2 linked regions of the Drosophila melanogaster genome follow. The protein of the gene in region 1 purifies or fractionates together with the protein of each later gene. This does not show direct contact. Each region holds a gene or a part of one and is shown in the gene's direction. Other genes may lie near its edges. The genes, in order: CG15445 and achi.

The links.
Region 2: the proteins of CG15445 (region 1) and achi purify together in Drosophila melanogaster (affinity purification with mass spectrometry, with the first as the bait; 2 studies listed by BioGRID). This does not show direct contact.

The regions. Positions count from the first base shown.
Region 1 is NC_004354.4:21,108,179-21,124,825, forward strand, and holds CG15445 (uncharacterized protein), read left to right. Parts: upstream 1-8,982; 5' UTR 8,983-9,226; exon of another isoform or gene 9,227-9,284; 5' UTR 9,285-9,317; coding exon 9,318-9,437; intron 9,438-10,137; coding exon 10,138-10,593; intron 10,594-10,683; coding exon 10,684-11,484; exon of another isoform or gene 11,485-11,569; intron 11,570-11,600; coding exon 11,601-12,080; 3' UTR 12,081-12,266; downstream 12,267-16,647. Other genes in the region: stg1 (stargazin-like protein), read left to right, coding at 1-59, 129-346, 707-1,092, 1,545-2,173, 2,290-2,945; unc (uncoordinated), read right to left, coding at 3,365-4,430, 4,493-4,789, 4,853-5,490, 5,598-7,162, 7,278-7,562, 7,856-8,165.
Region 2 is NT_033778.4:12,507,031-12,523,677, reverse strand, and holds achi (achintya), read left to right. Parts: upstream 1-8,615; 5' UTR 8,616-8,902; intron 8,903-9,279; exon of another isoform or gene 9,280-9,334; intron 9,335-9,416; 5' UTR 9,417-9,433; coding exon 9,434-9,548; intron 9,549-9,616; coding exon 9,617-10,110; intron 10,111-10,169; coding exon 10,170-10,318; intron 10,319-10,418; coding exon 10,419-10,805; intron 10,806-10,894; coding exon 10,895-10,996; intron 10,997-11,055; coding exon 11,056-11,177; intron 11,178-11,243; coding exon 11,244-11,423; intron 11,424-11,488; coding exon 11,489-11,607; 3' UTR 11,608-12,144; downstream 12,145-16,647. Other genes in the region: CG8569 (uncharacterized protein), read right to left, coding at 2,494-3,147, 3,208-4,265, 4,331-4,445; CG8818 (uncharacterized protein), read left to right, coding at 4,871-5,841, 5,904-6,037, 6,090-6,274; CG13151 (uncharacterized protein), read right to left, coding at 6,420-8,234; vis (vismay), read left to right, coding at 13,239-13,353, 13,412-13,812, 13,959-14,107, 14,208-14,594, 14,684-14,785, 14,845-14,966, 15,033-15,212, 15,291-15,409.

The DNA.
Region 1 (16,647 bases):
TTGCTCGCATCAAAACAATCTGTATTATTTTAGCGCGGGAATTCTTTTCATTGTTAGTGGTGAGTTTTGAAAAATTTGAAAGGGTCTAAGCATAATAATGACACCGAAATTGCGTAATCATCCTGTAGGTCTAGTGATGCTGATTGGATTGATTGCCTATATATCAATACTGAAGGCGGAAATCGGATCGAAGTTAAGACCCCGGTCCACCCTTCAGCCAGCCCTCATCAAGGTCTCCTATGGCCAGAGCTTCTTCCTCTTCGTCTTTGGATTCATTGTCACGGAATTCGTTGGGGTCTTGAATATATTCCTCTTCATCAATTTGCAGGAGGTTAGCTACTACAGTGTGAGTAACTGAGCTAGTCTTAAACAATTCATAACGCTTGGATATATTGCCATTATTATTTTAACTTCATTTTATATTATGACTTTTGTTGTTAAAAGCAATTGTTGAACAACTTTTCGATGGCATTACTTTAAAGTTGCATCTGTGACAGTCGTCGCATTTGTGTTGGTGGTGCACCCGGTGGTACAATCCCCTTAGGAATAGCCCACCTCGTGATTCGTAATTCTCGCGCTTGACTGCAGAAACGTACCAACTTAAATGCAAGCGTCGCCGGATGCGTCCTTCGGGATTAGCTGCATCTTCTGCTGCGCTCTCTGTGTTCTTCACATACTTTATTTCCATACGTACATTTCCCTCCAGCGCTTGCCCTGTTTTAGTGTGGCAAACATCCACGCCAAGTTAAAGGAGGGCCAGCATCCGTTGAGTGATTCCTACAAGCGGTACAAGCAGCCCGGCATCACCACAGCCAGCCAGGAAGGACTTAGTAGCGCGGGTCAAGGTCAACAGGGTCACCAGAGTCACCACCCGACGCACCAACCGCATCCGACGGCGCAGCCACCACATGGAATCCTGAGGAGTGGCAATTCCCGACTCCATCAGGTCTACGATGCGGGACGAGGACACCCTGGAATGACCGGACAGATTGGCCATTCCGGACAGACGCAAACACTACCAGGAGCATGTCGCAAGCATCCGAATGCCGGATCGAACTTAAATCTCTATCTGCATAATGACCTGGAGAGGCGGTAAGCAATTAGGTGTTTAGCGAATTTTAATTTGGACAATTACTGTTAAGTTATGATGAAAATAAGAGATAACTCGATAGTCGGTTGCCTCGACTACCAGATACCCGTTACTTAGCTAAAATGAATTCAAAAGCTACTATTTTTTTGATTGCACATGAATGCCACATGGTGTCGATGTTCGTCCATGTGTCCATCCGTCTGTCCGTCAGTATGAAAGAGCCGCCTTCTATGTACATGCTAAATCATTCGATTTATGCTTGCTACAAAAAATCGCTTTTTTGCTTTGACTATCTTCCTCTCTTCGACTAGGTATTTAATAGGTACCATAAGATAGATAGACAAGAAGAGACGTTCTTTTCTTTTTTAATGTATAATAAATACATATGTATATGTATGTATGTATATTGATGAATGCCATTCATAAGCTATTGTATTTAACCTTTTCGTTTTAGTTTTTACTTCGAAAAGCCAGCTGTGTCCAAGTGTAATCTGCACTCGCGCAGCTTCGCCAAGTCGTTGAATGAGCTTTGCACGGATACGTCCGTGTCCTCCACCCATGTTCCCGCACCCCTTCTCCCTTCCGCTGCCGACCCATTACCTGCCCCCGCCCTGTTCGCCGACTTGCCTCAGGAATTTCCACTCACCCGATCCGTATCTACGGCCACGGAAATATATCCAGCTTCATCTTCGGCTCCAGCTCCGCCCTCCGCTCAAATGAAACGAAAGCAGCAGCGGAACATGGCCACTAATACGAACACGAAGATCTCCAACAATCCCCCATCCTCCAACTCGCAGATGGCAGATCAGTCGCGTCTTTGTGGCCTGAAGCGTGGCCTCCGGAAGACCAAGGATGAGCTATTCCAGGAGTTCTGTCGGCGAGCTGGTATGCGCAGCAAGCCAAAGAACATCTACTACATCAGTGGCGGGGATGAGGCGGAGGAGGAGGAGCAGGAGGATCAGGCCAAGCGGGAGGAAGTTCCGGATGATCCGCATCGCGATGACGACGATGACGCGGATGGCGATGACCACGGTTTCAGGCAGTTCAACCGCATGGAGGAGGAACATCTCTATGTGGTGGGAGGTGAGGTTTTATTCTGGGCAGTTTTTGATTGTTACAATAGATTGTTTTCATTCGAGTATCATTTCATTACGATTATTAAAACTTCTGTTTAATAGAAAAGTATACTTTCTTTCCAGACCATGCCCAATTGGTGGTGCCGCGTCGCACGTCCATGTGCGTGGACTCCATGGGACAGCCGCTGCGCAGACTGAACTCGAATCTGTCCCTGCACACGGATCTCAGCTTCCCCGGAACGGGTGGCTATCCGGGCATGCGAATGTCCCTGCCACAGCCGGCTGATCTCGGCCAGAGTCGCACCTTGCCGCGCTGCTTTCTGCGACAGTCGTCCGATTCGCTGGCTTCCCAGGGCTATCCATTGGGCTCCAGTCAGCAGCGTTTCTCCCAGCTGATGCTGAATCAGCAGCAGAATCGCTTCGTGTCCTCCACGTTGACACTGCCCCAGGTGGTGGCGCCCAAGAGTCAAGTGCAGTGGCCCACGGCGATTCCCTCCTCGCCGTCGAACTACTCGAATGGCTATCAACAGCATCCGCAGCCCATTTACCCAGCTCCAACATCCGGAAGTGGAGCACCTGGGACAACGGCTTCGGTCTCCGGACCACCGAAATTCCAGCGCGGCTACGCATTCGACGATCAACAGCGTAGGTCCAGTTTTGTGAGCGATGCATTCGACCTGGACGAGATCGAGCGGGAGCGACGGCGATCCCATGCCAGTCTATTTGGAATGGGTCAGGTGAGGGATCCCTACGATCTCATCAATGGCACCGCCGTCTAAGATACCCGCAACCACATACTCGTAATCAATAATGCCAAAGAAACGAAGAGCTAGCATTTTTTTTCGGAAGTAAGGTGACAAAAGAATAAGTATATGTCTATTGCAAAAATAAACTATTTAATGATTATATACAATATATATAATAGATGGTCCCAGCAGGTCTTAAAAAATTGATAAACTAAGCGCACAATCAGGCCCACAAAATCTATCAAAAGTATACATACACAAGTGAAAAAAGAGTAGTAAAATTCGAAATAGGTCTTTAAAAATTAATAAATGCGCACAATTTTGGCCAAAAAACAATGAGTTTTATTAATTGTATTATTACTATTTTGTTGCTCTATAAAGAGAGTTTTGGAACCTAAATAGATATATACTTAATCAGTTTGAACATATTAAGCACCTATTCTAGATTTTTTTTACAGGTTTATGCGTTTCCAGAACGCCTGGCTGTACGAAACCTCCGTGCTAGATTCCGCATTCCGCCGCCGGGCTCCATCCGCCACGGCGCTCATGACCAAATCCTCGAAAGCTTCGCCCGACGATCTCCCGGGCAAAGTGCTTTGCGAAGAACTGGAAGTGGAGACATCCAAATGATGAACAGCTGGTTCATTTTCGTTGATTGTGTGAAGAGTGGGAGCCGTGTGGGGGCGTTTCGGGAGCACCAAATGTGCACACAACCCCGGTTCCGATGCTGCGGTGGGTGCACTCACAGGTCTTCCTGTTTTGGCGGGCATTGTAGGTTTTACGGCCTCTGCGCCGCCAAAGAGCATCTGCATCCTGGCCATGGATTGCTGGAACTTTGTACTGGGCGATCTGCCGGCACCCATGGAGGGCAGCTCCATACTGGAACTGCTGCTGCTGCTATCCAGAAGTGGGTTTGGTGTTCTCAGGCCGAGGGCATCTTTGGCCCGTTGGAGGAGCACGTTCATCTCACCATTGCTGCTGCTTCGCGTTACAGCGGGCTTAACATTGGTCAGATGGCGATCCTGTTTCGGAGATGCCTCAGGAATCTGAAATGGCAAATCTGCTAGCCAATTCTTCTTAACGTTTTGCTTCTCCTTCTTCTCCTCCTTTCTGACTGGCATTATCTTGTCCAGCACCTTGTTCCTAGCTTCGGTGATGGCATTCGTAAAGGGATAGCTGTCCTGTTCGTGACCCTCCTCCAGTTCCGATAGCCACAGCGGTGACGACCCCTTTGAGTCCAAGATGGGATCGGGTATAAGTCGCTGGTTGCGCAGCTCCTCCAGTTGAGCCACACTAGCTGCGTCCTCCTTGCGAACGCGTCGATGCCAATCCCGGAAACCGTCCATAGTGCGATGCACCTGCTCTCGTTCCCGCAGGCAGCTGGAGCGGATTCTCCGGGCCCTTGCGGCATCCTCCGATGACTTGTGGGGGGATGTCTTCGACTTGGTTTTCTCCAGGTAGCTGAGGAAACTTTGTTCCAATAGGTCGCTCTCCTGTTCCAACTGCAGCATTCGGCTTCTAATGAAAGTTACATTATTTTAGGAATGCTATACGTAAGTACATGAAATTCACAAACTTACTTGGCACTTAGTAGAGCCTCCTCAAAGCTCGGACCTTCTGAAACTTTGCTATTTACCGGTTTGAGAGGCGTCGCCTTTGGAGGCACTGGAGTTATCGTGTTGGTGGCCACCGAGTGCATTGACGGTTTCAAAGGAATAGAAGATTGGGAAGGTCCTGGTTGAGGTACCGTTTCATCGGGCGGCGGAAGTGCCGGTGATGCAGTGGAGGGCAAAACACTCTGTACACTTGGTGAAGGGCCCCGAGGAGCAGGAACAGGTAAAGGAACAGGAAACTGTTGTCCTTGAGTAGCAGGAGCTCTAGAAACAACCCACATATATGACTTAACACGGAGTAAACGATTTGTAAATTTAAAAACTCACTGGTTTCTATTTTCAGTTGGATGCAGATCCCCAGATACGGGGCCTCCTTGGAATGTGAAAGCATTGGTTTCGCCGGCTGCGCGATGAGCACTGTCATTGTCTGCAGGAACGCTACTCGGAGAAAGCAGTCGTCTTGACGTTTTCATAGGATCACTGTAGATCCTTGCAACTGGGACCAGAGGAACAGGGTGTTCAGAAGCCCCAAGCAAGTGGGCAGGAAGGTGAGTCACTGGCACGAAGGTGCCTGCAACTGGAACTCCACCTGGCGGAGCTAATGCCAACAATTGATAGGGATATCCCAGGTCAGGATACGTGTGCTGTTCCACATGGGTCTTACCAACATTCAGCGCACCATCAGCGGCAGGCTGAGCCGGAGGCGGAGTGCAGATCCCACTGGAAATGAGCGTGGTAGACATCGCCGTGTTCCAGTTGACAGAAGCGGAGCCCACAGCAGCTCCATCCGCCCACATGGGCATGATGCGAGCCGCCTGCTCCGCTGCAAGCTCCGTCTGTTGGATCTTCTCCGCCAGCTGCTGATGGTGTGCCTCGTAGTGCTCCAGCAGCCGGAAGATCTGCTGCACGAGGTCGCGCGCCTCCGCTGACGATTGCGAGTCCCGCTCCACACGCTTGCACAGGGTCTGGAATTCGAATACAAAGTTAGTAATCAAAGGTTTAAAGTTAATACGATTGCAGAATAAATATAATGGCTGCAGCTTATTGTTGTTTTAATTCTCGAGAGACTTACCCGCCAGGAGTTCTGCCGCTTGCTTAGACGAAGCATCTCGGCCTGGTGTCGCAACTTCACCTGGAAGAGTTCATTTAGCCGCACCTTTTGCAGCTCCAGCGCCTTGTTCAAGGAGAGCTCCACCCGTTCGAGGAACACTTGGCCACTGGAGCTGTGCAGCATCTCGTGGATCCACTGTTCGTAGGACTTTTGGAAGGTTGGCGGCTCGCAACTAGCCTGATTCCCAGCGTCCTTTAGCTGCTTTTGCTCCGTTTGGGTGATGACACTTTCATTGTGAGCTGACTTTCTCGATGTTTGGGTGGCTATACTCGCCGTGGGTATCGTGCTCTCCGTTTGCACGGAGCTTTCCCGCTTCTCGGGCAGTGGCCTTTCCTTTTGCCACTTCTTCTGTTCCAACTGCTCCAGTTTCTGACCCTCCTGCAGGCCCATGAAGTGGCCGTGGGCAAAACCCTCGCGGTAGCCCCATTTGAAGCCCTTGTGCATGCCCACAGAGTGCTCCTGCTCCATGGAGAGATTGAGAACGTTGCTAAGTAGTTGGACACAGCCGCACACATCCCCCATCAGGGTCTCCATTCGCTCCATGGAGACGTACATCCGGCCCTGCGGCTGCCGGCTCTTTTTCTGCACCTTTTCGAGGGACTGGCGGATCACGGCCAGGCTGGCCAGTTGTTCACTGTGGAGACGGGGCAGCTGAGGAATGGTCACATCCAGGGCTGGCACTTGAATGGGTCCCAGGTTGGAGTGAACCACATCTTTCTGGTTCCTGCCACTGGTTACCTCATGCTCCTCTTCCTTGTCCCCGGTGGCAATTTTGATCACCGGTTCGCCCGGGTTAAATGCTTGACCAGCTTTCAAAAGTCGCTCCCTTTCGCGCAGCTCCTTCATTAGGAGATCCTCGAATTTTGTCGATGATATCACCTCAACGGGCGGAGCACACGACTTGGCCAAATGGCGGAGATTCTTAATCAGCTGATTAAGCTGCTGCTCCACGGAATGCAGAGATTGCGAGACACGACCGCCCACAAAGACACTTCGGCCATCTGCGCCCAGAATCAGCTCGTGCTCCTCCGTCTGATACAGACCAGTGGTGTCCACCTCGGGACGAGCTTCCACGCAGGCAGAGGGCTCCGTTTGACAGCCGGTGTCTTGCAGAGAGACAGGGACCGGTTGTTCCACCTCCTGCTTAGGCACGGACCTCCTGATCTCCACCAGCGTTCGCATAAGAGCCATCAGCAAGCACTGCGTTTGTCCAGCCAGATCCTCCTCGTAGTGGGCCTCCGCCAGCTTTCCAAATTCCGAATCCGCTAGAGCTTCTTTTTCTCCCAGTATGGCGGCCACGACCTTCTGCAGTTCCTCCGTCTGGAATCGGAACTCCGGCCGACTCCGGAAGTCCGGCAGGTTGCTGCGATGCGGCGTCTCGCTGCAGAAGACCGACAGTGTGAAGTGGCAGTTCTGGGAGTGCAGAAACTCCGCCACCAGAGTGTGCAGCACCATCGCCAGTGGCGAGACGAGCAGTGCGTGGGACTGAGCCATCTGCACACCAGCAGCCTTGCTCAAGAGCTGGCCTGGAACGGGTACATTTATGGTTAGATCGATTAATAAATTAAAAAGGGGGTTTTCAATAAACTTTGAGATGCCAAATAGTAAAATATCTTTCATTAGTTTGATTAGCAAACCCACCGAGTGCCGTATTATTGAAGCAGTGAATGAGCTCCACCCGCAGGTGAGAGTGCATCTCCCGGGCAATCCCCTCCTGGTCCAGCCACTGGCGGAACTTCACCTCGAACTCCTGCTCCGACATCGCGGCCAGTTCCTCGAGCTGTTGCCTCAGCCGTTCCGCCCTGGCATCGGAGTCATCCTGCTCCTCAATCTGATCCTGAGGAATAGGTACGTGCTTTCTGGTAGGCCTTCCTGTGCGGTATCCGTGTGCTCCAACCTCCGGGGGCAATGATGATCCCCGCGTTACTGAACACAAAATGGGATTATCAGTGAATATGAATCGCTATTAAGTTCGTAAAGGTTTATTGTACTGAATATTTTAATTTGAAAAGATTATTTTTCGAACAAATTTGTGTACGTCGGAGTATAAAGATTGCTGGTTTCTTAGAGTTATAATAATAATAATAAAAATAGTTATAATAATAATATTAATAATAAAAATAATTATTATAATAATAATAATAATAGTTATAATAATAATAATACTTATAATAATAATAATAAAAATATTAATATTATTATAAAAATAATAGGCCCACCTCTAGTTATATTTGATGGTCCGCACGGTCCTGGTCTGCCCAGTCCGGTTGCTTGGAGTCGCTCCCTGGACTGCGTCATTCTCCGCCTGGCGGGATCGCCGTCGGTGCTGATCCTTCGATTATGCTGGCGCACCCGCTGTGTCGCCGACGCCGCTGTGGCCCGCTCCTGCTTAATCTGCTCCTCCCGCTCCCGCTTTGCGGCCTCGTGCTTCCGCTCCCGCTCGCAAGGCATGCCGATGCCGCCCACATCCCGCTGCTTCGCCCTGAACGATAACGTTGTCGTGCTCGCCGGCACGTGGCGAACCTTCATGCCGTCCTGAAGGAACTCGAGGCTCGGATGGGATCGAGAGTTGGTCTGCGTATGCTCGGATAGAACCTCTGACCGCCGCTTACATGCGCCGCGTTTGAGTAACTGAACTTTCCAGGTAAAACGAGCACGAGCGCAAGACACTCACCACCAACAGCGAAATGTGACAGGTGCGACGGAGCCTGCCCTGCCACCTGGGAACTGAGTGAAATTGGGGAGGAGGTCAACTCGATCGTCGGGGGTTGGTCCTCCTAAAGGCGTCAGCTGTGTTGCCTATGTGAAGCGTGCTCTAAAAATTAAGTGAAATATATGACAACTGAGTTCTATGAAATGGTATTCTAAGCAAAAGCTTATTTATCATAAGTAATTGCTCACTAATACTTATAACGGCGGCAGTATTTACTGCCGAGCCCATATTAAAACAGCAATACTTCTTGTGGAAGCGTGTATTTGGTGTATTTTTCACAATAATAATATTTTGAATTTTAATTCAAAACAGTTCCGCTTTAAAGTTGGCAGTTGACTATCGATAGATAATTGTCCGCAAAACAGCTGATTGCTAAGTAGTAAGTGCATCAGCCGTACTGACGGTGAAACTGAAATATGAGTTTCTTGCGTTAAATGGTATAGAAATAATATAATATAAATCAACAAGCACAGCTGTGTTTGCCAATGCGTTTTTATAAAAAACCAAATTTGAAGACTTTGACTATTAACGGGCAGAACGTTCATGTCAGTCAGCTTTTGCAAGCGTTTCGCTGTGGCTGACAGATGGCCGAGTGCTGCAAGAGCCGATAGCTATCGAGTTGCAGTTGTTGTGTCAAACGACAAAAAAGACCCAATTGCGGTGATTCCACCAGGCAGAGCTTATCCCATACGAAGACGCAGCACAGTTCACATTAAATAAATTTCCGTAAATAGTTCTTATTTGTCACCCGCCCAAAATTAAAGTCTACTCCACTGCACCCAACCCCGCGATTATCAACGACTGCGCATCGTTCTTTGTTGTTTCGTGTAGAAACACATGTGCAAGGAAGAAGAAGAACCAGAACATCACATCACTCGTAAATAGTAAATATCTAGAGCATGCCCGATCCTTTGTGACGCGTCAGTTTCAGCCAGTTCGCCACAATTTTTGCCAAGTCATCGTCGAAAATGTCACAAAACGACAACCTACTCATCCAGATCCGCGCCCTTCTCCAGTCCGATGGCGAGAAGCTGTGGGAGGAGCCCTACTACTCCGAAGATCTTGGTAGCATCGAGGGAGCACTAGAAGTACGTACTATATGCCCACCACCCCACACCTAAATGCCTTCCAGTCAGTGGTCGGGGAAATGACAAGAATGCCTGAAATACGGTTGGCAATATAGAAATATTATATTCAAAATGCATATATTATATATATATATATATATATATATTATATATTTATTTGTTAGTTCTTTTCACATTTGAAGAAGTAAGAAGCTAGTTTCGACAAGCCGTAACTTATATACACCTTCAGCTAAGTTCATATTATTAACACTTATTTTAGTTTGATTAGTTTGATCATATGATATTATTGTCCAATTAAAAATACTTAAAAAAAAAACAACATGACATTGCACAAACGAATCTTTTAAATTCCTATTATACTTTAATAATTCTGAATTACAAGAGTAACGACAAAGATATTATTTAGTTTCCTTATATAGGTTTTTGATCTGTTTCGCTTCGACTTATTTATAACGCCTAGAATAAAAATAAGATTTTAAACCGATAGATTTGTTGGCGTGTGAAAATGTGATTGCTTTCTTGAATTATTATTTATTTTTCAATAAATAGAGGTTGAGGGATTTTAAAAATAAAGTAAGACCAATAGTAGTCAAAAGAATAGCACATTACCAGCATTCATACTCAGGAACTCAGTAGCTTTGGATTAATATAATATATAATATTTTATTCTATAATAAGATGTGTATCCATTTCATTAAAGAACCTGGCGCAGAAGTACTCCGGCATGTTGGGCATCGATATAGGTCGCTGCAAGTTCTTTTTGACCGAGCTGCAGGAAAATGCTCTCCGTACGCTGGCCGCCCGACGTGAGTTCAGCACCACAGGAATTGCCACGTTGAAGGTTCGCCGCGTTGGCGAGCACAGCGGTGCCACAATGGTGGAAGTGAAGTGCAGCTTGGACATCGTGGGCTCCGAACTCCAGGCATGCATAGCGAAGAAACTGGAAGTGCCGAATGCTGCGCACGTCAAGTGCATCGCTGCCGGCAAAGTGGTGTCCGCCAATGCCACTTTGGCCGACCAGCAGTTGAAGAACAACCAGCAGTTGATTGTCATTGTGGGCGATGGGGATAATTCTGGCGAAGCCCTGTACGAAAGGATCAATCGCATCAAGGCCGATGTGGAGGCGGTGGTGTCCTCGAAGAATAACCTAATAGAGGTGAGTAAATCGGAAGGAAAGTTGCTTAGGTTGTTGTTTAGAAGGTTTTTTAAATCACACCACTTGTTTGTATTTTCGTGTCATGCCCAGATGGAGGATCAGAATGGCAGCCAAGTGTATTTGCCGCCTTCCGAGCATAAAGCCCTGCTCATGGGTTTGGGATTCTGTGAGAAGGCCCGTGCGGCCATGAATCGCAAGCATTTTGAGGAGGCTCTGCTCCTGCTTTTGGAGGCCGACGAGCATTTTTCTACCTGTGGCTCAAAGTTTCTAGAGTCCGTGGATAACTATGCTTTGCTGAACCTCGACATAGTGTGGTGCTATTTTTGCCTGAAGAACGTTACCCAGCTCCCGGATGCTGAGCATCGCTTGGCCCGCTGCAGTCGCAATTTCGGCATCAGCTATGGCGACAATTTGGAGAGGCTGTACTCCTTGAAGGGCAAGGACTGTCCCGAGAGGGCTTTAATTATGCGGCTTAAGTTGCTCCAGGGCGTGATCTTCTTCCACCAGAATCTTCGCAATCAGGCATTTGAGTGCTTCGAAGCGGCTAAAACTCTGCTAAATGAACTAAAGATCAACAACGACCAACTGGCTCTCCTGGTCGATATGGGCTTCGAGCCCTCCGAGGCTCGTATGGCCCTGCGCTCCTGCAAGGGCGGCACCGCCGTCGAACAGGCTGTTCAGTTTATTCACGAGCGTCGTCAGCAGCTCAAGAATGCACGCATGAAATATAAAGCGTCCGAGCGTGCTATGGAGCGCCGCCTGAAGCGCTCCAATTCCAAAGATTGCACCTGGGTGAATCCCCGCAGTGTCTGCAGCCTTGCTGACATGGGATTCGAGAGCGGACTGGCCACTATCGCCTTGCAGCGCTCTAATAATGATATCCTCCAAGCGGTAAGTGTGGCCAAGAATATATTCAATGACATGAATTGATCAGTATGTTTTAACTATAATCTCATGGATGTCACGTGTTTGTAAACTATAAAATAATAGAAATATTTTTTTCTTAGGTGGAACTGCTGCAGACAGAATCGGACGAACTTACTGGTGCTTCGCCATGGTTTCCGGTCACCGTAGACACGACCAAACTGGCTCAGCTTCTGCAACTGGGATTCAACGAGAACGACTCGCGCGTGGCCCTACAGAATGCATCAAATAACATGGAAGAGGCCATCGAGAGTCTGATGTGCGCCATAGAGAGCGAGGAGGAGCTGAAAGCGATTTTAAAGCACGTTGGGCGTTTGGCCGAAAATGGTGGGCAAAATCTTGACGGCCCCTCTACTTCGAACGCCTCCGGGCAGACGCAAGTTGCTTTGCCAGCGCCCATTATCGAAGCTGTTATCAATCATGCTCGCGTCGAGATTGAAACGTACAAGGCCTACGAGCGCTTTAACTCCGACCTCAAACTGAGCGACCTGGAATACCTGGACTTGCCACTTATCCAGGAGGAGAAGATCCTGACTGAGTATTTCAATATGCTGCAGCAGTAGCTTGTATTTGACTTGCCTTTTTTATATCTATACAAAAAAATATAGAAACCCGAAACCGGTTGTCAAGATAACTGTAATCATGACTTGTCTATATTGCAAATCGTAGTCTTATAATGGCACTTAAGTGGCATTCAGCTCCCCTCCCGGCTGCTGTTTGTCCAACTAGGCAAATAGTAAAATATAGAGATTTATAAGTACATGCCTTCTATTGACAACTGCAAAATGTGATTGCGCCGAGCCAGCGGGAGAATTCACCTTTTGGAGCCACCTGAAACTTGTTAGCGCCTCTGGTCATTGCTTATTTTTTTTTTATCGTTTGTTTTTTTTTTTGTCGCTTGACTCTCGACCCCGGCTCGGACGGCGGCGCTTGATTGGGTTCAGTCGTGACCTTGTCGAGGCCAAAGGGCGCCGCTCACTAAGCTCATCCCGTCGACGAATTGAGCGGAACTTACACGATTTGCTGTAAGTATTTGCTTTGCTTAGCAAAGAATTTATTTATTTATTCAAGTAGCACCAAGACTAAATATTATAAGTCAACTAATTGGTTTTCTATATGTATGTACATACATATGTGTAAAATAGTAATTTTCTATTTATACACGTTACTCGCAGAGTGAATAGTATGTAAAATGTTGTCTTGTACAAATTGGCACGGTGCCATAGGATTAAAGTATCCTGCGGCAAATGTGTTGCAAACATGTGTTTTTACATCCTTGTTGGGCGAAATGAAAAATTTAGCAACTGGATTTTTTTTTCCGTAAAAGTATTTGCTCTCATGAAATTAGGTGTGATAGGAAAATGAATTTGGTAGTTATCATACTCTTCAAATATCTGAAAATGTCCTATATCGTACAGTCTGTGGCTATACTTGTGTTTATTTTATAGTGCTAAGCTAAGACACGTGATATATACATAAAAATATAATTTGAAGAAACAAAACTTTATATCTGAAAAAATTATATTAAAGCAAGAATCCAAATCGAAGTAGAATGGTTAAATTGCCAATAGATAGTTCACGATTCTCGATTGGCAATCAGTCATTCACCTATTGGAAAGAGCCAGCACCACTTGGAACCCCCATTTACCCCCAACAACCCTTCTCCAAGTGAAGGCGGTCGCATGCGTGCCTCAAGTGGGAGTGAATGTCGGGTGTTAAGGTAGCACGTGGAAGCCAGTAGCTGACTCAAGCCACTAGGCATCCACGTACACTTATTCCGGAGCAGTTTATAATAATGGCTTGGGCTTAATGGAAATCGGCAGTGAATGAACCCCATCACTGAACCCGGAATGATTTCAAGGAGACTGTAAATTGCACCTATTGTAATTTGCGAACGGTTTTTAAAAACGAGGGCAAAATATAATTAATACATTTTTGAGGTTCTACTAATAAGATTATAGAACTAAAGTATACTCTTGAGCGACATGTCCGTGTCTTGTAAGATTTGCAAAAAAAAAAAAATATATATATATTACACGGCATATAGTCTGTAGTATGTATATAGTATATATAATTCCACCTTATACGTTGATGCGATTTTGGCCTATGAAATGATTAAGACCTGAGTGAACCCAAATCCACTGAACCCGAAATGATTTAAGCTTATAAAAAATTTAAACTCCAAAACAATGCCTATCTGAAGTATTTAAATGTTTCATAAATACGTTTCTAATCTTGTAATTGTATCTAGAGAATTACACTATGGATTACTGACGTGTGCTCTTTTGTCTCGAGCTTGTTTTTAAATTATAATTACTTTAGCTTAACTTTTTGCCACTTTAGTTCCCAGTTTCTATATTGTCATCGCTAGTTGGCCGTTTTAGTTGCTCGCTTCGCTTTATTCCGATAAACAATTTCATAATTCGTATATATAGTTTTAATTTCAGCATTTTTAACGTTTAGTCTTTTTGCGATTTTTGCCATAATGACTTTGGACATTACGCGCAACTGATACGCAGCCAAGCGAATCTGTTGGACATTTGAACATTTGAGCGTGGTCTGGGCCCGTGGACATGGACATGGAGAACCGACTCAGAATGAGAATGGTTCTGGTTGGCCTAATTCCGGGGGTGGAGCGGGGACACGGGCTTCTGGACGGCGACATGGCGAATTTGAATTCGAAAGCACTTGACAGTTGTATGCACTCTCTTTCAGGAATTTCCACTTGTCACCCGGTGTCCAATTTCCAATGGAGGAATCGCTGCGATTTGCATTCTGTGATTAAACCGGTTCAGACGCACTGACTCCGGCGGATTTGCTTCATTGTTAGTCGCAAATTGATTAAATTTCCTGTTTTGAGAAATTCTTAGTGCAATTTACTTTACCTTACATACTTACTAAAAAATATTTATATTTGATTTACACCTGTTTTGCCCGTCATTTTGTACAAGCATGGGTAATACCCCTGATTATCTAATTTAATTGCATTAACATTTAACATACCAAACACTTAAACCAAATACACATTAAATTAAAAATTAATTTATTAAAATTATTTCATGGTGAATTGCAAAACTAACACTTATTCGATTTCACTTCAAAATCAATTAATATTTATTTGACAAGTCGGGAACTGACTATTCATATGTATTTTTCAAAGAGATTTGAAGGTTAGGTTTATATATATCTATTTTGACCTTAACAGAATCTGTAACTTCATCCGGGGATCGTTAGATGTGTCAACTCATTCTCGTGTTTATATCATTCTTGGGTTCCGATCCATTAGCGCAATCCAGGTACAAAGTACGAGCGTTATAGCCCTCTTTACACGGCCGACTGGGTCTCAAAAGTGGCACTAATTCGTGGATTCAGTGTTTCGGGAAGGGTTTCCTATATAGTTTTGGCATTTCATTGGATATAAGTACAGTTGTGCGATGGGCCAGGGCTGCAATTAGTACTTCCCGAAAATACAGGCTAATTAAAACCAGCTTTGCTTTCTGCTGCGTGTCACGCACACTCAACTGGGAAACAAAAGAACAGTTAGAAGAAGCATGGGTGTATTACCAAAAATCCCATTGTTATTCAAACATTACGCGAACTCTTATGGCCTACAAATCGAAGCATGTTGGGTGTAAGTAGATCAAAAGATATGAGGAATCCAAGGTAAATTAAAAGGTATCTATAGGAACAATAATCAGCGACTTTCTACGAATACAAACATTCCATTAAAGAATATTCTTCATTTGGCTTTATTTCAATCTTAGAATTATTATTTGAATTCAAACATTACGTTCAGCAAATACTAAATAAAGTTTCACTTAATTTCACCTTTTAACTGGAAGAATGGAATGAAGAAAGGAACATTTTGTTCCTCAGATCACGTCCCTTGTGTGCGCCCATGCTCCGAGCTGGCAACATGTTGCCGGTGCGATGGCCGGGAGCAACTTGTTGCCGCCCACACGCAACAACAACGAAGTTGGAAGTTGGCGATCGACGTCGACGATCGTTTTTTTTTTCTTCAACGTCGGCATCGGCGGCAAACTGGCAGCGGAATTAAATAATTTTCCGTAAGCGCGTTTAGTCAAGCTCAGTTCAATTGCGGCCAGCTTTGTTGGCGGACGTTTCAGGCAGCACTCTATACACTGTAACCAAAGGCCAAGTAGTAACGAAAACTGAAGCAAACTACCGAAACATTCTTATTTTTTAACTGTGCGAACTGTGCGAGCGGGAGGCAACACCCAAAGACAACACTCGAAGTGAAGAGTAAAACTCGAAAAGAAAATATACATATAAAAAGACGTGTGCAGTAAACAGTTGCAGTGACCGAAAAACCTTAAAATCAAAAAAAAATAATAATAACAAAGAAACACTAACGAAGAAGAACCAGCAGCAGCAGCAGCAGCAGCAGCAACTTGTTTAGCGGGGTTAGTAATTTTAGTTTTCTCAGCTGTTTTTACCAGCTTCCTAAATAGGTACGTAGTTATATTTATTTGGGTACTTGCTAAATCAAAGCAGCAACAGCTGTTTTCAATCGCGGTCACTTTCAATTTCGGTGCACTGAAAACAATGGCCCACCACTATTTTAAAAATTGAAAAGAAAAAATCGATAATTATGTTATTATTGATTATGTTTATTAGTAAATTGAAATGGAAGTGCAATGTCGAAATATTTAACTAAGTACATTCAACTTTTTGTATGTATGAGCAATAGCTTTTTGGATGAATAAGTATGACAAGGACCAAGTCGCTTCTCTCAGTGTTGGTTCGAGTTTCTGGTCGGTATCTGACGTTTCTGGTTTTTGAGGTTTCTCTGCACGTTTTTCGGCGCTGTTGTTTTGAGTGCGTCTCAAAAAGGGCTGGACAAAACAAGAAGTGCGGAGCAAAACAAAAGCGCTGGACAAATTATCCATTCGAAAAACAGTATTTAACACAACCACAAAAGCTGTAGATTTATGTATGTAGTTAAAGCCAAATTGGCAGCACAAAAGGAGGTGGCGAGAGCAACAACAGCAACAAGCGATGAAAGCGAAAACGCATAGGAAAAGGCAAACAAAAGGAGGCGTAAATACCCTAAATTATAAGAAGTTGTTTGTAGATCCTACGCAAATAAGTTCACCACTTGCAGTAAAA
Region 2 (16,647 bases), on another chromosome or scaffold:
CTGTGTGAAACTTGTAGCGAAAACGCTTAAACGTGACTTCCGATTTTGGTTAGCAGAATACCAAGTACCGAGTACCGAAATCGTGTGTTGTTGCTAGATAGCCGCCACTAAGTGAAATATTTATTACATATCCATGTATTTCGATCTGTGGCAGCGCAAGGTGCCAACGCTTGTGGCCATTTCCATTGCGGGATTGGGATTGGCCCCCCAAAAGCGTCTCGTGAACCCGGCATAAATCAATTATTTTGGGATAACCGTTTAACGGCATTCATAAGGCAAACCGCCTGATATCCGATGCATTCACATGCTCGTTTGCACTCGTAAAATGCATTGAACCCTTTTAAGCGGACCGCAAATTCGATTTGACCTTTCGGCTGAACTTTTTGCCTCTCTGCAGCTTCGTTTGCCGGCATTAACACGTTTGCCAGAGCGTAATTATCCATAATGGTAGCATGAACATTACGTAGTTATACCCGTTACTCGTAGAGTCAAGGGGTATACTAGATACGTTGCAAAGTATGTAACAGGTATATGGATTCGTGGATTGCTAGCCGAGTCGAGTTCGCCTTGTCCGTATGAAAGCCTTGATCTCAGAAACTAAAGATCACATAGAGTTTGTTTCCAGATGTCGCCACCACGCCCACATACAAATTAGAACGCCCACACTTTTGTCAAATTTTTAAATGTTCTTTCAATATCATGCATTATTGCTTTTTACAATTTTTATCGATATGCCAGAAAAATGTTTTCATTTCTCGCTCGCACTTCCGCTAGCTGAGTATAGGGTATGTGTTAGTCGACGGACTCTTTCTATTATTTTGTTGTTGCTTAATAATTTAACAGTTTTACAAAGTTTGTTTTACATTTACATTATTTCTTAAGCTCGTCTTGTAAATTACTTTATTTTTTGATGTCTTGTTAATTGATTTGTGATAGCCTTTTCTTATTAAGAAAATGCGAAATAAAACGTAGTTATAGCGCGATCAATATCGTAGGCTATCCAATGCACTTCAAGCTTATAATTTCCCTCCGGAAAGGGTAGTATTTCGGTGAGCTTGTAATTTATACTATGATATGACATTTCATCCAGCACAAGATCATGCTGAAATGAATGTAATATGAATATTCACTTTAACAACTTCGGGTATACTTACGTTATAAGGACAGGTGTGGTTTATGTTGGAATAATCTTTAAAGAGATTGTAAAAATACAGAGCAATCGGATTGGGATTTCTAGATTTTAGAAATCTGCACCCGTCAAGAGTCATATTGTAGAGAAAAGGCTTATAGCCATTCAAACGTTTATAGAGACCAAATTGCACCTGAATTAAAAAACAGTAACTTATTATAATCGCTTAGGTATAAATATAAGTTTACTAAATTATACCTTAATTTTGGTTACGGGTATCTTTAGTAGTTTAACTTTGAGGGAAACATATTTGTAAGATCGGTTCACAGATTAAAGATAGCAATATTCAAATAGGGAAAAGTCCTTATCCAAGGTCTCGCACTGTACGTTTGTAAATTCCACTAGGGAATAAACCTAAAAGAAGCTTTTAAAATATGACATTTCAGTTATAATAATTCGTTACCTCTGTGAGATAATAAATACAAATCAACTGAAAAGCGACGCACAATTTCAGCTTGATTGCCATTATTTCCTTTTAGTTATACACAGTACAAAGGCCTTCGATTCTTTTTAAAATAATAATACTTTTGACTTGCTTTCTTGTTTCCTTTTTAAGGTATAAACTTAACTATTCACTTTAGTGATTCGCTTATTTGGTATATGTTTCTTGCGCACTTTTTTAAATAGATAAATTGGGAACCTTTTTTATAAGTATGGCTGTGCAAGACGACTGCGGGAAAACAGATCTTGCTCATGGTTTAAATATTGATAAATCGAATAAAACCATTTAAAATTAGAGCAGTTAAAAACCATGAATTTAATGAGATACTATTCAAAATCGATTGGTTTTATCGAGAAAGAAACTGTCATTAAAGTTTTCCATGTGTTTCAATTGTAATTATTTAAGTATGCCACGAAAATATTGTGGATGAACAATAATTTGTGTTTATTATTATGAATACAGCTGGCACGAAATAATACCCATTCTTATAAAATATGTATATATTTTTTGGTAGGAAACAAGTTTTTATATTGTTAGTAACAAGTACAAGTAAGTTCCACGCCCACACTTTTAAAGTATTGTACGTTTTTTCTGATTTTTTATAAACGTAATATGAATATGGATTAATATGATCAGGTGGCGACACCTAGCGGAAACAGTGCTGCCCATCATAAGAACGGAAAAGGCGCCATTTTCAAATATCTCATTGATAATATTTTTCATTAATACAAGTTTAACATTCTTTATCTTCTGAAAATATTGATGCATATCTTAAGAACGGATACATTTGATACAAAAGGATGGTAACAAACGAGATGTTATCACTTTGGACATAGTTTCCAATTTCGTCTGTAGTCCTAATTTAATGAGTAACTTTGCAGGATGCTTGGTGGCGTCTCTTATCACGTCGCTGGCATTCAACGCTGCAGTAGGACGCAGTAAAGCAGCAGTTAAAAACGGCCTCATCCAGGCAATGGTAGCACCATTGCTTCCTTTTCACTTCGGCCAGCTTCCTTTGCGTGGCCGAGAGCTCTCTTCGGCAATTTAGCAGATCGTTATGCGCCTGCAGTATTTCGGCGGTTAGACTATCATATGCTACGGAGTCAGGAATCCCACGAATGGGCACCGGCGATGAGGTATTCGAAGTGGTGTTATTAAGCCGTCGATTCTTTGCAGCGCCGGGAGTGGCTGGAGTCGGCGGGCGTCCTCGTTTGCCGGACGCACTCGTTTCCGTTGACTCCGTGCAGTGGGATAGAGCCACCTTAATGAGATTCTCGGCAACGGTGGGATCTGCATGGAAGCCGAATAGCGAGGCGGAATAGTGGGACAACATCATGTGACACTGCAGTTCTTTTATCGCAGCGCTCAGAGCTCGGGAGTTCCGTGGTTTGATATGCGACTGAATGTCCGACTCGATGGGTGTAATATCACGTTCTGAGATGAGGGCCCGGGAATGAGTGCCACCGAAGAAGCGGACGTCGTACTTGATGGGCTGACGCTTGGAGACGCTCATCACCTGGTAAAGAAATTATATTTATGTGTATATATTACATAGTAATGATAATATCGTACGTACCTTTGCAGGCCACGGTGGTGAGCCCACCTGCTTGGCAAATACCAACTCGTGCCGCTGAAGACATGGCTTGGCGAACCAGAGATCCGACAGGCTGGCCTCGTTGGAATACCTATAGCAGTCGGGGCAACGACGGATTTCGCGAATGTCGTGCGTCACATCTCTCATCAGCCACTTGGTGGCATTGTACTCAACGCTCTTTTGCCCAAAGAACACGGCCATGTTGTGCTGCAGATCGAGCAGATCCATTAGGAATTCTGTTAGGTACGTATACTTCGCCGCCGCTATGTTGCGCTCGATGTCGCCCAGACCCAAAATCTTTGTCTTGAAGAGTAGCCGCTTAACCAGCGCCTTGTCGCGTTCGTTCCAATGCTTGGCCATGTACTTGGCCACATCCATGGAGATCCAGGAGTGATGCTGGTCCCAGGAGTACTTCAATAGGCAGCCCAGCTCTTGCTTGTCGAGTTGCGGTGGGTTGTGGAGAGCGGCCAGGGCGAGCAAACGGCAGTGGGTGCAGCGCTCCAGATCGCTTCCCTCATCGCTATCCAAACTGCTTTGTAGTTCGTCCTTGATCCTGGGCAGCTTTCGCTGGCGCGCGCCCTTTTGTTCGCACACAAAGAAGACGTCGTCGTCCCACTCGATGTTCTCGTGCTTCAGGAAATCCGTAGTGGCTAGCAAAGTCTGATTGATGTTGCTATTATGATCGAGCAGGGGCGTTGGCGTTTGGGGAGTCTCCAAGTTCTGAGTGTTATTCAGGGGCTGATTGTCCAATTCGTTGACGGGAAACTGGTAAGGTTGGCCCTTGTCCGAGGGCACTGAATAATTGGGCTTCTCCGGGTCCTGTCGCTGGCAATTCTCGTGGAAGGAGCGATGGCAGGATATGCATTTCTTAACGGCTCCGGGCAAATGGCACTCGAAGCAGAACGGATCAATTGGTGAGCTGGGCAGCCGGCTTACTTTTTGACAAAAGGCGAGGGCCAGACGCTTGGACCGTCCGCCGCCTGCTCTGGCCACCAGTATGCCTCGCTCCGTGGCATTTTTCACCGATAAACTGGCTGCTTCTGAAGTTGGATTTTTAGATGTTTGAGACAAACGTTATGGATTGGACATTCAATGGTTCACTTACCTGCACTCATTAAATTGAGCAGGGAACGCTCTAGGACTGTCGCCGGCTGCCCAACGCCCTTTTTCAGCTTGTCCATCCAAATACGGATGGCTGAAGGTGGAATATCGCTGGCCATTTCATTTGCGTTTTAAAGTTTTCTTGCAAATGAAATCAATTTTTGGCTAACTGGAAGCGTTGCCGGACTGCTGGATTGGGTGAACTCGCGTTGCCAACTATAGGCAACAGGAGCTGCCACGTAGGGGTAACTTTAAATTTACATACAAATTTATGGATTTTTAAATGACTCTACTTAAAAGTAAGTTTGTAATTATATGCAGCATTCCATTTTTAAACATTTGTGAAACAAAGTATCTGAGTTTATTTCAGTAACAACTTGCTATGATTCGTAATAATGGTATTCCTCGATGGCATTTTCACACGGATCAGCGACGGTAACACTGTTGAAAACAAAAAATATACACAACTTATACAATCCGAGACAAAAACGGGGCAAAGGAGGCGTGTCTAGAAGAGCGGAGGACGCGGAGGTGACCCCAAGTCATGGCCATGCTGACGCGATTGACCAGCAGCGGCACCACCACGGTGGCCGGAGCACCCGGTTCACCCAAGGGCCTGCAGCGTTTCCAAAACTACATCTCGGCCTTCTTGTGGCCGGGAACGCAGCGGCAACGTCGGAAGTCCACACATCTCGATCCCATGGACTGTTTCACCAACGACTTGGTGACCAGAAAGACCCAAAAGTGGGAGGAGCTGCGCGATAGCCTGATAAAGAGGCCATCGTCCGGAAATCTGGAGGCGGACGCCAATTGCAATGTGGGAACGCAGCGAAAGGCTGGTAGTACCAGCTTTAGCCAGAACGTGGGTCTTATGTCCAAGGGCATGATGAGTGATCTGAAGGCGCTGCGCTCCCCCCAACTGGGACTGGATATCAGATCCCTGTCGCAGGCGCAGCTGGACAACCTGCTGATGGCCACGTTGGAGATCAAGAACAAGCTGGACTTTCTCTACCTGATACGTCAGTGCATCCGCTGCAACCTGTTGCCCTCCAACGAGGTCTTCGTGTCCTGTCTAAAGTATTTGAGCGCGCAGCGCAAGCTCCAGCAGTTGGAGGCACTGGCGGAGACCTGTCGGCAGCTGGAGCACCCGTTCTCACAGACCTACGCGGATCTGGCGCCCTTCCGCGCCATCGCCCTGTGGAACAATGGTAACGCCGACGTGGCCCTGATGACGCTACATCGCGGTTACGGGGTAAGCATGACTTCGGAGGAGGGCAGGCGGATGGCGCGCTCCGCATTCCGCACCATTTCCGAGGAGACTCTGGCCCAGAAGAGTGAGGCGGTGCTAGTGTCGCTGCTGGAGGTAGCGCGTGCCATTCACCGCGAGCACAAGGACATCTTTGTGGTGGCCTGTGTGTGGAAGCAATGCTTCGCTAGCGATTGGTTTTGCGATCAAAAATCGGCTTCGGAACTGTTTGAGCACTACAAGGAGCTGCAAGAGCTAGTGGAGAGGAGGTAAGTCGCTTTAATTTCTTTAAAAACCCGAAATTTGAATCCCAATGTAACCTTCCTTGCAGAGCCAGTTCTTTGTGCTCTTCATTTCTGGCCCGTAACAATGTTGATGCGGTGCATCGGCTAATCGAGGCGTTCTTGCAGCACCAGCAGCGTTTGGCCTGCTCCAGCTGCCTCAGCTTGCTCTTTAACTATCAATGTGAGTCTGTGCAACACAACCGAATATTATGTAACTCCCGTTTCGTTTTTAGATATGCGCAAGGATCTGCGAGCCTGCGCTGAGATTGTCAAATCCTGCAGTGAATTAGAGATGCCGCTAAATGAGCTGCAGAACGAACAGTTCCTCAGTCTGTTCCTCGACCAGAGCGATCCTGTGGACTCTTCGGGAATGGCCAGCAAGTACAAGGCACCCAAGTCCTTCCAGTACAAGTTCTAGTCCCCAGTTTCCATCGTTAAGCCGTTGTCATCGTAGTTACAGCACAAGTGTTTGCACCATTGAGCAATATTGCAAGCATCCCCATATTGCAAGCCCCCACAAGGAATGTAGTGTCTCTTCAATAAATGTTATTTAATATCCATCTTCAGGTGGCTCCTTCATCCACCATGTTGCCCTCGGGCAGTTGGCCAGGCAAAATGCCGACGCATTCGTAGCAGCGGGATATCAAGTGGTTGCCGCATCGATGTTGCAAGCACTGTTGGCACCGCGTCCGCGATTTAGTGCCACGCTTATTTCGAGCGCAGGGCTTGCACCTGCGATGCTTCTCTCCGTACCGACTAGCCAAATTAATGCCCAAGGGCAGGCTCATCTTGTCGGGTGTTAGCACGCCTACGCTGTGCGTTAGTTTCGCCTCGCCGGTCGCCTCACTGAGCAGCCGCTGACTGGATTGGCCCAGGATTTCGCAGATTTGCAGTCGCATCACGAGCGAAGTGCTGGTGGATCTTCGCTGAAGGCGTCGCTGTAATCTCTGCTGTGTGAGGAAGAGTCCCAACTGTCTCTGGAAGTCGCGCTGATCCATAGCGGCATCGCCTTTGGGCGAAAGTCGTAACAGGATCCATGCATTCACGGCAGCCGCGTTGAGCACAAAGTGAAGTAGTTGCAGAAAAGGATTGATCTGCTTTTTCAAGGGTGCGGGCGTAGCGTGGGCTGTGCTGAAGCGCTGGGAGTGTTCGTAAAACTGCTGACAGGCTTCTGAGGTTTGCTCATATGCCTGGACTGCATCTACTTGGGAGCTAAGACCGCAGCAGAAGACTGCGTCGCCATCGAGCGGAATGAGTTTTGAGCTGCCACCAAACAAGGGTGATTCTGTGGGCCACTGCCGCGGCCAATGTGGCGAATTGGCCTCCAGCTTACCCAACGAGCTTATTTGCCGCTGCGCCAACTGCTCGCACTGCGTCAAGTTTAGATACCGTGATCCCAGCGTTACATTTCTTCCCGTGGTCTTGAAATCGCAGATCAGTTGTTCTACATCCTTGTCCGGACATCTCTGGTTTCTGCTTACCACTGCATTGGCCATGTACAGTGTCCTGGCATCACAGCAGAGGGTCATCCGTGACTTGGCCACCGCGCAGAATGTCTCATCCACGGTCAACCAACTGCTGCAGCCGTAGTAGGATCTGCAATTGATTATAAGGCGCTGCCAGAGCTTTTGGCCCTCGGACCAGCCGCAATTTCCCGCCAGACACTCGGAAATGCTTTCGAATCGAGCGAGCGACATGGATGCTCGGAATATGGCATTGCCCAGCTCCAGGGTCCACAGCTCATCCAATGGCCCATTGTGCCTGGCATTTCGGAACACTCCACAAAGGTAGCTTAGACCCAAGAATGCCCGCAGCTCCACAACGTCTAGGGGTCTCTGGACACTTGTGGCCGTTCTCCGCTTACGCATCTGTTCATTGATATGGCGAAGTAAAGACCGCAGCATTTCATCATCGAAGAGCAGCATCCATGCTTCCACTGCATTGGACACTGTTCGGGCGGGTCCCTTGCCACAGGCCTGTTGCCCCAAAAGGGGTAGATCCTCTGCAGAAATATCTGGGCTCCTGGTCACGCTCCATAGCTGCCCACAAGGAGATGTGTAGTTTCCGTTATTATTTGGTGGACGACCACGTCCTCGCTTCGGGGCAGCTGGCCTGGCGGAATCCTCCTTCTTCAGCACCACGTCAGCCAGTTGGTCCTCGTTCATCAGCATGTCGCTGTCCTCGAAAATCCAGGGAAAATTGCATACTGCTTCCTGTAGCGGATCGGAGTCATCTCCGTTAAAGGAGGCACTTTGGACTGTGGAATCGACCGGCGGCAGCCGCTCCTCCACCTCCATCTTTTCACCATCCTCGTCTTCTTCCTCCTGGTCGCTACATTTAATATTGGCCAGCAGCTCCTCGTCCAGCACGCATTCCATTGTTTGTTTATAAACTTGCAACAAAACAAACCTTTTCAGTCGTCGATAGGTTAGGACAGTAACGTCTATACATATCGATAATTTATATAGTTATCGAAAAAGACATTTAAAACATAAATCTTAAGCTTGAAAGGTTGAAAACTTATAAAAAAAATAGTTTGTTCTATTTAGAAAAAATTATGTACATTCTAAATATAACTTATTTATTTTAAATGTAGATTTAATTTCCAGCGTAGAGATAACTAGTGTATGTTTATAATTCTTAAACAAATTATACTTAACAAAACTTGTATTTATTCTTGGCGCCACTGTTCAAATTTCAAATGAACCTGCCAACTGAACTAACTCCCCAGTGGACCCCCATCCATGATTTATCGCACATAAGCGGCTATCGGATTTCTTTCGCCACTAATTTGTTGTTTGGCACGCAGCAAGGAAAAGGAATAAAACGCTTTAAAACCAGTGCCAAAATAGCTTTCCCCAACGTTCGTTACTATATTTACGTTGTCTGCAAAAAGAGTTTGTCTAATTGGCCTCGATACTACGGTTGTGACGACTGCCCCGTCACTACAGTTTGCTGAGTGCAGTAACCGGGGCCTGGCTGAAACACTGGGAAAACCAGTGTTTAGTGTAAATAAATGATAGTGGCACCCATTCGGACATCGCAGGTGAATCCCCGGGAGCTCAAGACGCCCGTTATTTGGGCGCGCAGTGAATTTGTCAAAATATTTTGGTTAAAGTGTCAATTTGACATGTTATATGTCATGGTCTCTCGTGTGCCAGTGCGATAGTTATCGATAGATAGCCCCAACTTAATTTGTTTTAAATATTTTTAAATTTCTTCTTTACTTAATTCACTACTGTAATACGTTCGTTTAATGTATAGTTCCTTGGAAATTAATCGATTTAGCAAGTAGACCGATTGGAAAGAAATCAAAAATCGATTTGAAATGCGTATTTGAACCTTAGTTGGCCATGACTTTGGTGTCTGAATGACGCCTGCCCTCAGAAAAAGTTAGTTGAATCTCAAAGTCTGTGGTGACAACACCTAAAGAAACTAAAAAGTGACAGGTTTCTCTGTTTGTAAAAAAAAAAAAATTGTAATTAAAGTTCTGTTCTTTTCCTTTCAATATTTGCATACCGTTTCTGGTTGTGTTTTAATGAATTTTCTGTTTTCTGAAGCTTAAGTCTGAGCTGCAATGATCTCGCCGGAACAAGAAGAGGTCAACATGGTCCTGGATCGCCATGTACGGCAGAATATCCAGGACATGATGCACGAGGCTCATGTCCAGGCGAGCCTGCTGGAGAACGAAGGTGAGTTTGCTATATTTCGGTCGAGTTCGGTCTTGTTCATGCCCGTTTTTTTTGCATGTCATCTGCAGGACGCGGCCGTTTCCACTCGGACTCAAGTTTGGACCAGGATTCTCTTCACGCTGACGTCATCGTGGAGGAGGATCAGAGCACCGAACACGGCGCCAACCAGGTGCAAAACTACCACGACATGATGGTGGACAGTGAACACCACATCGACATAAATGGGTCGCTGCGCAAACGTCGTGGAAATCTTCCCAAGACCTCTGTAAAGATTTTAAAGCGTTGGCTTTATGAGCACCGCTATAACGCCTATCCGAGCGATGCGGAGAAGTTCACCCTGTCCCAGGAGGCCAATCTGACGGTGCTCCAAGTGTGCAACTGGTTCATCAATGCCCGTCGCCGCATTCTACCGGAGATGATCAGGCGCGAGGGCAACGATCCTCTGCACTTCACCATATCGCGACGTGGCAAAAAGGTTAGCCCCAACTGTTCGAGATCAAGTGCGTTGGGCGCAAACTTGACTGGGCCGAATCCCGCACACGGAAGTCCTGCTTCCGAAGTGGTGTGTTATCTTCTGGTCAATCATTATACCACTGAAGTTACTAAATTGCTTGACTCCAGGTCGTTGGCGCTACAGAGGAGGTGGATGGCGCCGGTGAGATTCACGAGGGCATCGCCAATGTGCTGACCAACTTTGAACAGTATGTGCAGGGCCCCAACGGACAAATGGTCAAGATGGAGCCGGAGTACGAGGACAGTGTCATCTACAGGTAACTGGTAACCGGTCTTTATGACCTGCTTCCCTAGCGTTAGTCACTTCTATCTCCTATCCCATCCCACCTATGTCCAAACTCCTTTTCCTCTTCCAAGCTGGCAGCAGGCCATTGCAAACAACCCGATGGGCTTTCAAAGTCTTCACTCCTCGCTTCAAGCAACCATGATCGATAAAATTAAAAACTATCAGATGCGCAAGGCTGCCGCCATTGGGGGTTCGGCGGTTGGCTCTGGTGGTGCTGGTGGGTCGAGCTCCAACTCCAGTCCTGCCACATCAATACTGCCATACAGCCTTTTTGGCCAGCTGCCGCCAGAGTTCGATGACGAAGAAAAGCCAAGACCTCCGAAGCGCGTAAGAACGCGGACGGTTGCTGCAAAGAGTCCTAGGGAGAATGCCAAGCAAGCAAAGCAGAAGACTGGGAATAAGCAAGAAACCATGTACTGCTATAAGGATTCATACGGCGGAATCGTGGTGTCTCCTAGGTACAGCTTCTGCTCCCATTGACTGATCCAGAGCCTTAAATCTTACTCAAGTGCGAGTGGCGGTGCTAAGATTTTACTTTTACCCCCAGGTCCGAAGGCGAAGAGAGTGCACAGGGATACGAGTCCTGTGGGCCGAACAGCGAGGAGGAAGTACGCTTCGAGACCTCCCATGATTGGCAGAGCGTTATAAAGTAAGTAGCTATGTGGATGTATTAAGAAAATATTGTAATCTCGGCCTCTGCAATTCCAGAACTGTATTTGGTACTGAGGAAGTCAGCACTTCGGCTGGCAATAATCCAGGTACCTCTGGTTCTAAGGGATCTGTTCAGAATACCGCCATCTGGAATCGCAATCAGACTGCGAAGCGTGACGGTGAGTGAAGTTTGCAGACTTAGAGCTCGGTTTCTTTGGTAATATCCAACTCTTTTACTCCTAAAGTGAATCAACAGTTGACTGACTTTGAAAGCGAGCTGAATAGAATACAGGCCTCAGAAATCCAGACAATCGATCCTACCAACTCCAATCAACAGGACATTGGTGACAATCTACAGGCGGACGAGGTGTTTACCGGTGCCGAAGCAGAAGCTGGCCAGAGTCAATTATCTGCTATGTCGCAGGGTAACCTATACCTATTTTTATCAACTTTATATTGAATTTTTAATTATTTTATAATCTTGCTTTAGGCACAAGTCCAGATGAGCGTGCCAAGTACAAGTGTCTCTATTATCTAGTGGAAACTGCCATGGCTGTGCGCCAAAACGATGACGTCCAGGATGACGATTTCGTTTACATGGGAGACTAGAGCCTCAAACCAAATACCCACGCTACAGATCCCGACTTCCCAAAGTGCCGAAGCGTGTATATACAAATATGTATATATAGATATATATATATACTTAAGTAATTTAATCGAACAGCACTAGACCCAAAAATTTGTCTATAACCCCCATGTTATTGTGTTAATTGAGTAGGTTACTAACATAACGTACAAAGCTATAGATCAATTCGCAATGCGACCGCCCAAATACCTTTTTCCACAAAGTCAATTCACAAACAAATCGACTTAGTTTTGGACCTGACTCTTTTAAACTTAACATGTACACTACTGATACTTAAATAAAACATAAACAAGCATTTGAAATACACATTGCCATAAAATGATGGTGTGTTTTATCTAATTGGCTGATAGAGCCATTTTTTTAAGGTATCTAGTAATTATGTACACATACATACATAAAATGAGAACGTTTGTGGAAGGACAAAATTAATTTTGTTATAAATATTATAAATGTATTGGAATACTTTGGTTACCACAGATAATAAAGAGTGGCGCAAAAACAAAATGATTCGATTTTTAACTATAAAGCTATAGAACAAAAAAAAAGAATGATATATTCGAGTTCCCCGGCTATCAGATACCCGGTACATATATGTGAAAATGTGAACAAGAAATTTCATAATTTTTCTGGGGTATTGATAGATAATTCGGAAAAAAGAAATATCCAAAAATTTTCAAAAATGAGGGCGTGAGTTTTGCGCTGTTTTAGGGCGTTACAGTGGGCGTGGCAAAAAGTTTTCATTTTTCAAAAGTGTGGGAGTGGCATTTTGTACGGTTTGAAAGCGTTGGAGTGGACGTGGCAAAATAGGTCCACAAACTTGTGATAGTTCCTGACTTCATACGAACGGACAGTCAGACGGACGGACGGACAGGTCGACTCGGGTATTGATCCTGATCAAGAATATATGTGTTTTATATGGTCGGAGAAGCTTCCCTCTGCTATTACATACTTTATAACGAATCTAGTATACCTTTTTACTCTACGAGTAACGGGTATAACAAGTGACGATCGCACCTCCAACATACAAATCTTCTGAAATCAAAATGATATTACATTTGACCAAATAAATGCGCTTGTCTAAATTTTACAAATCAAAATTTTTATAAATTTTGGATAAGGTAAAAAGTACATTTCGAGACGCCCGTTACTTGGGCGCGCAGTGAATTTGTCTAAATATTCATGGTCTCTCGTGTGCAAGCGCAATGTTTGTGCGATAGTTATCGATAGTTGGCCCTAACTTAATTAATTTTAAATATTTATAAAATTCTCCTGTACTTAATTACTTACTTTAATACGTTCGATACAAGCAGACCGATTGAAAAGAACCATTTTTAAAAATCAATTGAAAAAATTTGTTTTTGAACCCTAGTTGGCCATGACTTTGGTGTCTGAATGACTTGCCTGCCCTCGGGAAAAGTTAGTTGAATCTCAAAGTCTGTGGTGACAACACCTAAAGAAACTAAAAAGTGTCAATTTTCTCTGTTTGCAAAAATTGTAATTAAAGTTACTGTGCTTTTCCTTTCAATATTTGCACACCGATTCTGGTTGTGTTTTAATGAATTTTCTGTTTTCTGAAGCTTAAGTCTGAGCTGCAATGATCTCGCCGGAACAAGAGGAGGTCAACATGGTCCTGGATCGCCATGTACGGCAGAACATAAAGGACCTGATGCACGAGGCTCATGTCCATGCGAGCCTGCTGAACAACGAGGGTGAGTTTCCTATATCCCGGTTGAGATCAGTCTTGTTTATGGCCGTTTTTTTCTCCAGGACGTGACCGTTTCCACTCGGACTCCAGTTTGGACCAGGATTCCCTTCACGCCGTCGTTGGGAATGATCTGAGCACCGAACAAGGCGCCAACCAGGTGCAAAACTACCACGACATGATGGTGGACAGTGAACACCACGTCGACATTAATGGGTCGCTGCGCAAACGTCGCGGAAATCTGCCCAAGTCATCTGTAAAGATTTTAAAGCGTTGGCTTTATGAGCACCGCTATAACGCCTATCCGAGCGATGCGGAGAAGTTCACCCTGTCCCAGGAGGCCAATCTGACGGTGCTCCAAGTGTGCAACTGGTTCATCAATGCCCGTCGCCGCATTCTACCCGAGATGATCAGGCGCGAGGGCAACGATCCTCTGCACTTCACCATATCGCGACGTGGCAAAAAGGTTAGCCCCAACTGTTCGAGATCAAGTGCGTTGGGCGCAAACTTGACTGGGCCGAATCCCGCACACGGAAGTCCTGCTTCCGAAGTGGTGTGTTATCTTCTGGTCAATCATTATACCACTGAAGTTACTAAATTGCTTGACTCCAGGTCGTTGGCGCTACAGAGGAGGTGGATGGCGCCGGTGAGATTCACGAGGGCATCGCCAATGTGCTGACCAACTTTGAACAGTATGTGCAGGGCCCCAACGGACAAATGGTCAAGATGGAGCCGGAGTACGAGGACAGTGTCATCTACAGGTAACTGGTAACCGGTCTTTATGACCTGCTTCCCTAGCGTTAGTCACTTCTATCTCCTATCCCATCCCACCTACGTCCAAACTCCTTTTCCTCTTCCAAGCTGGCAGCAGGCCATTGCAAACAACCCGATGGGCTTTCAAAGTCTTCACTCCTCGCTTCAAGCAACCATGATCGATAAAATTAAAAACTATCAGATGCGCAAGGCTGCCGCCATTGGGGGTTCGGCGGTTGGCTCTGGTGGTGCTGGTGGGTCGAGCTCCAACTCCAGTCCTGCCACATCCATACTGCCATACAGCCTTTTTGGCCAGCTGCCGCCAGAGTTCGATGACGAAGAAAAGCCAAGACCTCCGAAGCGCGTAAGAACGCGGACGGTTGCTGCAAAGAGTCCTAGGGAGAATGCCAAGCAAGCAAAGCAGAAGACTGGGAATAAGCAAGAAACCATGTACTGCTATAAGGATTCATACGGCGGAATCGTGGTGTCTCCTAGGTACAGCTTCTGCTCCCATTGACTGATCCAGAGCCTTAAATCTTACTCAAGTGCGACTGGCGGTGCTAAGATTTTACTTTTACCCCCAGGTCCGAAGGCGAAGAGAGTGCACAGGGATACGAGTCCTGTGGGCCGAACAGCGAGGAGGAAGTACGCTTCGAGACCTCCCATGATTGGCAGAGCGTTATAAAGTAAGTAGCTATGTGGATGTATTAAGAAAATATTGTAATCTCGGCCTCTGCAATTCCAGAACTGTATTTGGGACTGAGGAAGTCAGCACTTCGGCTGGCAATAATCCAGGTACCTCTGGTTCTAAGGCATCTGTTCAGAATACCGCCATCTGGAATCGCAATCAGACTGCGAAGCGTGACGGTGAGTGAAGTTTGCAGACTTAGAGCTCGGTTTCTTTGGTAATATCCAACTCTTTTACTCCTAAAGTGAATCAACAGTTGACAGACTTTGAAAGCGAGCTGAATATAATACAGGCCTCAGAAATCCAGACAATCGATCCTACCAACTCCAATCAACAGGACATTGGTGACAATCTACAGGCGGACGAGGTGTTTACCGGTGCCGAAGCAGAAGCTGGCCAGAGTCAATTATCTGCTCTATCGCAGGGTAACCTATACCTGTTTTTATTCAACTTTTTAATTATTTTATAACATTTTTATAATTTTATTTTAAAATCTCGCTTAGGCACCAGTTCAGATGAGGAGGGCAAGTACAAGTGTCTCTATTATCTAGTGGAAACTGCCATGGCTGTGCGCCAAAACGATGACGTCCAGGATGACGATTTCGTTTACATGGGAGACTAGAGCCTCAAACCAAATACCCACGCAACAGATCCAGACTTCTCAAAGTGCCGAAGCGTGTATATACAAATATGTATATATATATATATATATATATATATATATATATATATATATATATTTAAGTAATTTAATCCAACAGCACTAGACCCATAAATTTGTCTCTAACCCATGTTATTGTGTTAATTAGGTAAGGTTAGTAACATAATGTACAAAGCAATCAATTCGCAATGCGACCGCCCAAATACCTTTTCCACCAAGTCAATTCAGAAACAAATCGACTTAGTTTTGGACCTGCCTCTTTTAAACTTAACATTGTGTACACTACTGATACTTAAATAAAACAAAAACAAGCATTTGAAATACACATTGCCATAAAATGTTGCTGTGTTTTATCTAATTATTAATATTTTGATAAATTTTGGATAAGTTTAAGAAAAAAGTTTTAAACCGCTTTTACAACGTAAATCATTAAATTGCCATTCTATAGATGTTTTCCCCAAACAATTGTTCTTTCCTAAATTGGTACAGTTAATGTTTCATTTATACAATTATGCTTTGAAAACATATTTCGAATTAAGTATCAAAGCATTTTCCTGAATGATGGTTAGTGGCCTTCGGAGGGTGTCTGATTCGTCACTACGTAAACTATTTATGGTGGTCTAGCGTGTTACAAGCTCTGCGAGTGGAGATACTCTTCAAAGAGTAGGAGCCGATTTTTCAATTGCATGTTTGGTATAATTTCTTGATATGCTTTCGTACATTGTTGCATTTTTATTTATTTATATCCATTAATACCAATTTGACGCACATTCTTATATTTACCTTCATTTGACGTCCCAGTATGTTTTGGTATTTCCCAGTATAATATTCGGTTGTATATACCGTCCCGTTTTCGGTATTTTTCATATGACTAAGATGGTATTTCAACGCCATTTTCGTACGGTCAGTTGCCGATTTTGTTTTTTGTTGTTTTTTTGCAATAAATGTTTGCCCAGCAGGAAAACTAACGACGCCAATGGCAAAAGCGGTCCGTGCATTTGTTTAATTACTGTCTGTACCGTACTCAAAATACTGGATGCCATGCAATACCGACCGCATTACCGCTCCGCACCCGTTGTTCGTCGTCTTGCTCGCTCGCACTCCTGTGGTCGTGTGCACTTTGTGTGAATTACTCGTACATTGCAGCACAAATAAGTCGATTGCCGAATACAAATATGTAAAAATGTAACGCCAGTCGC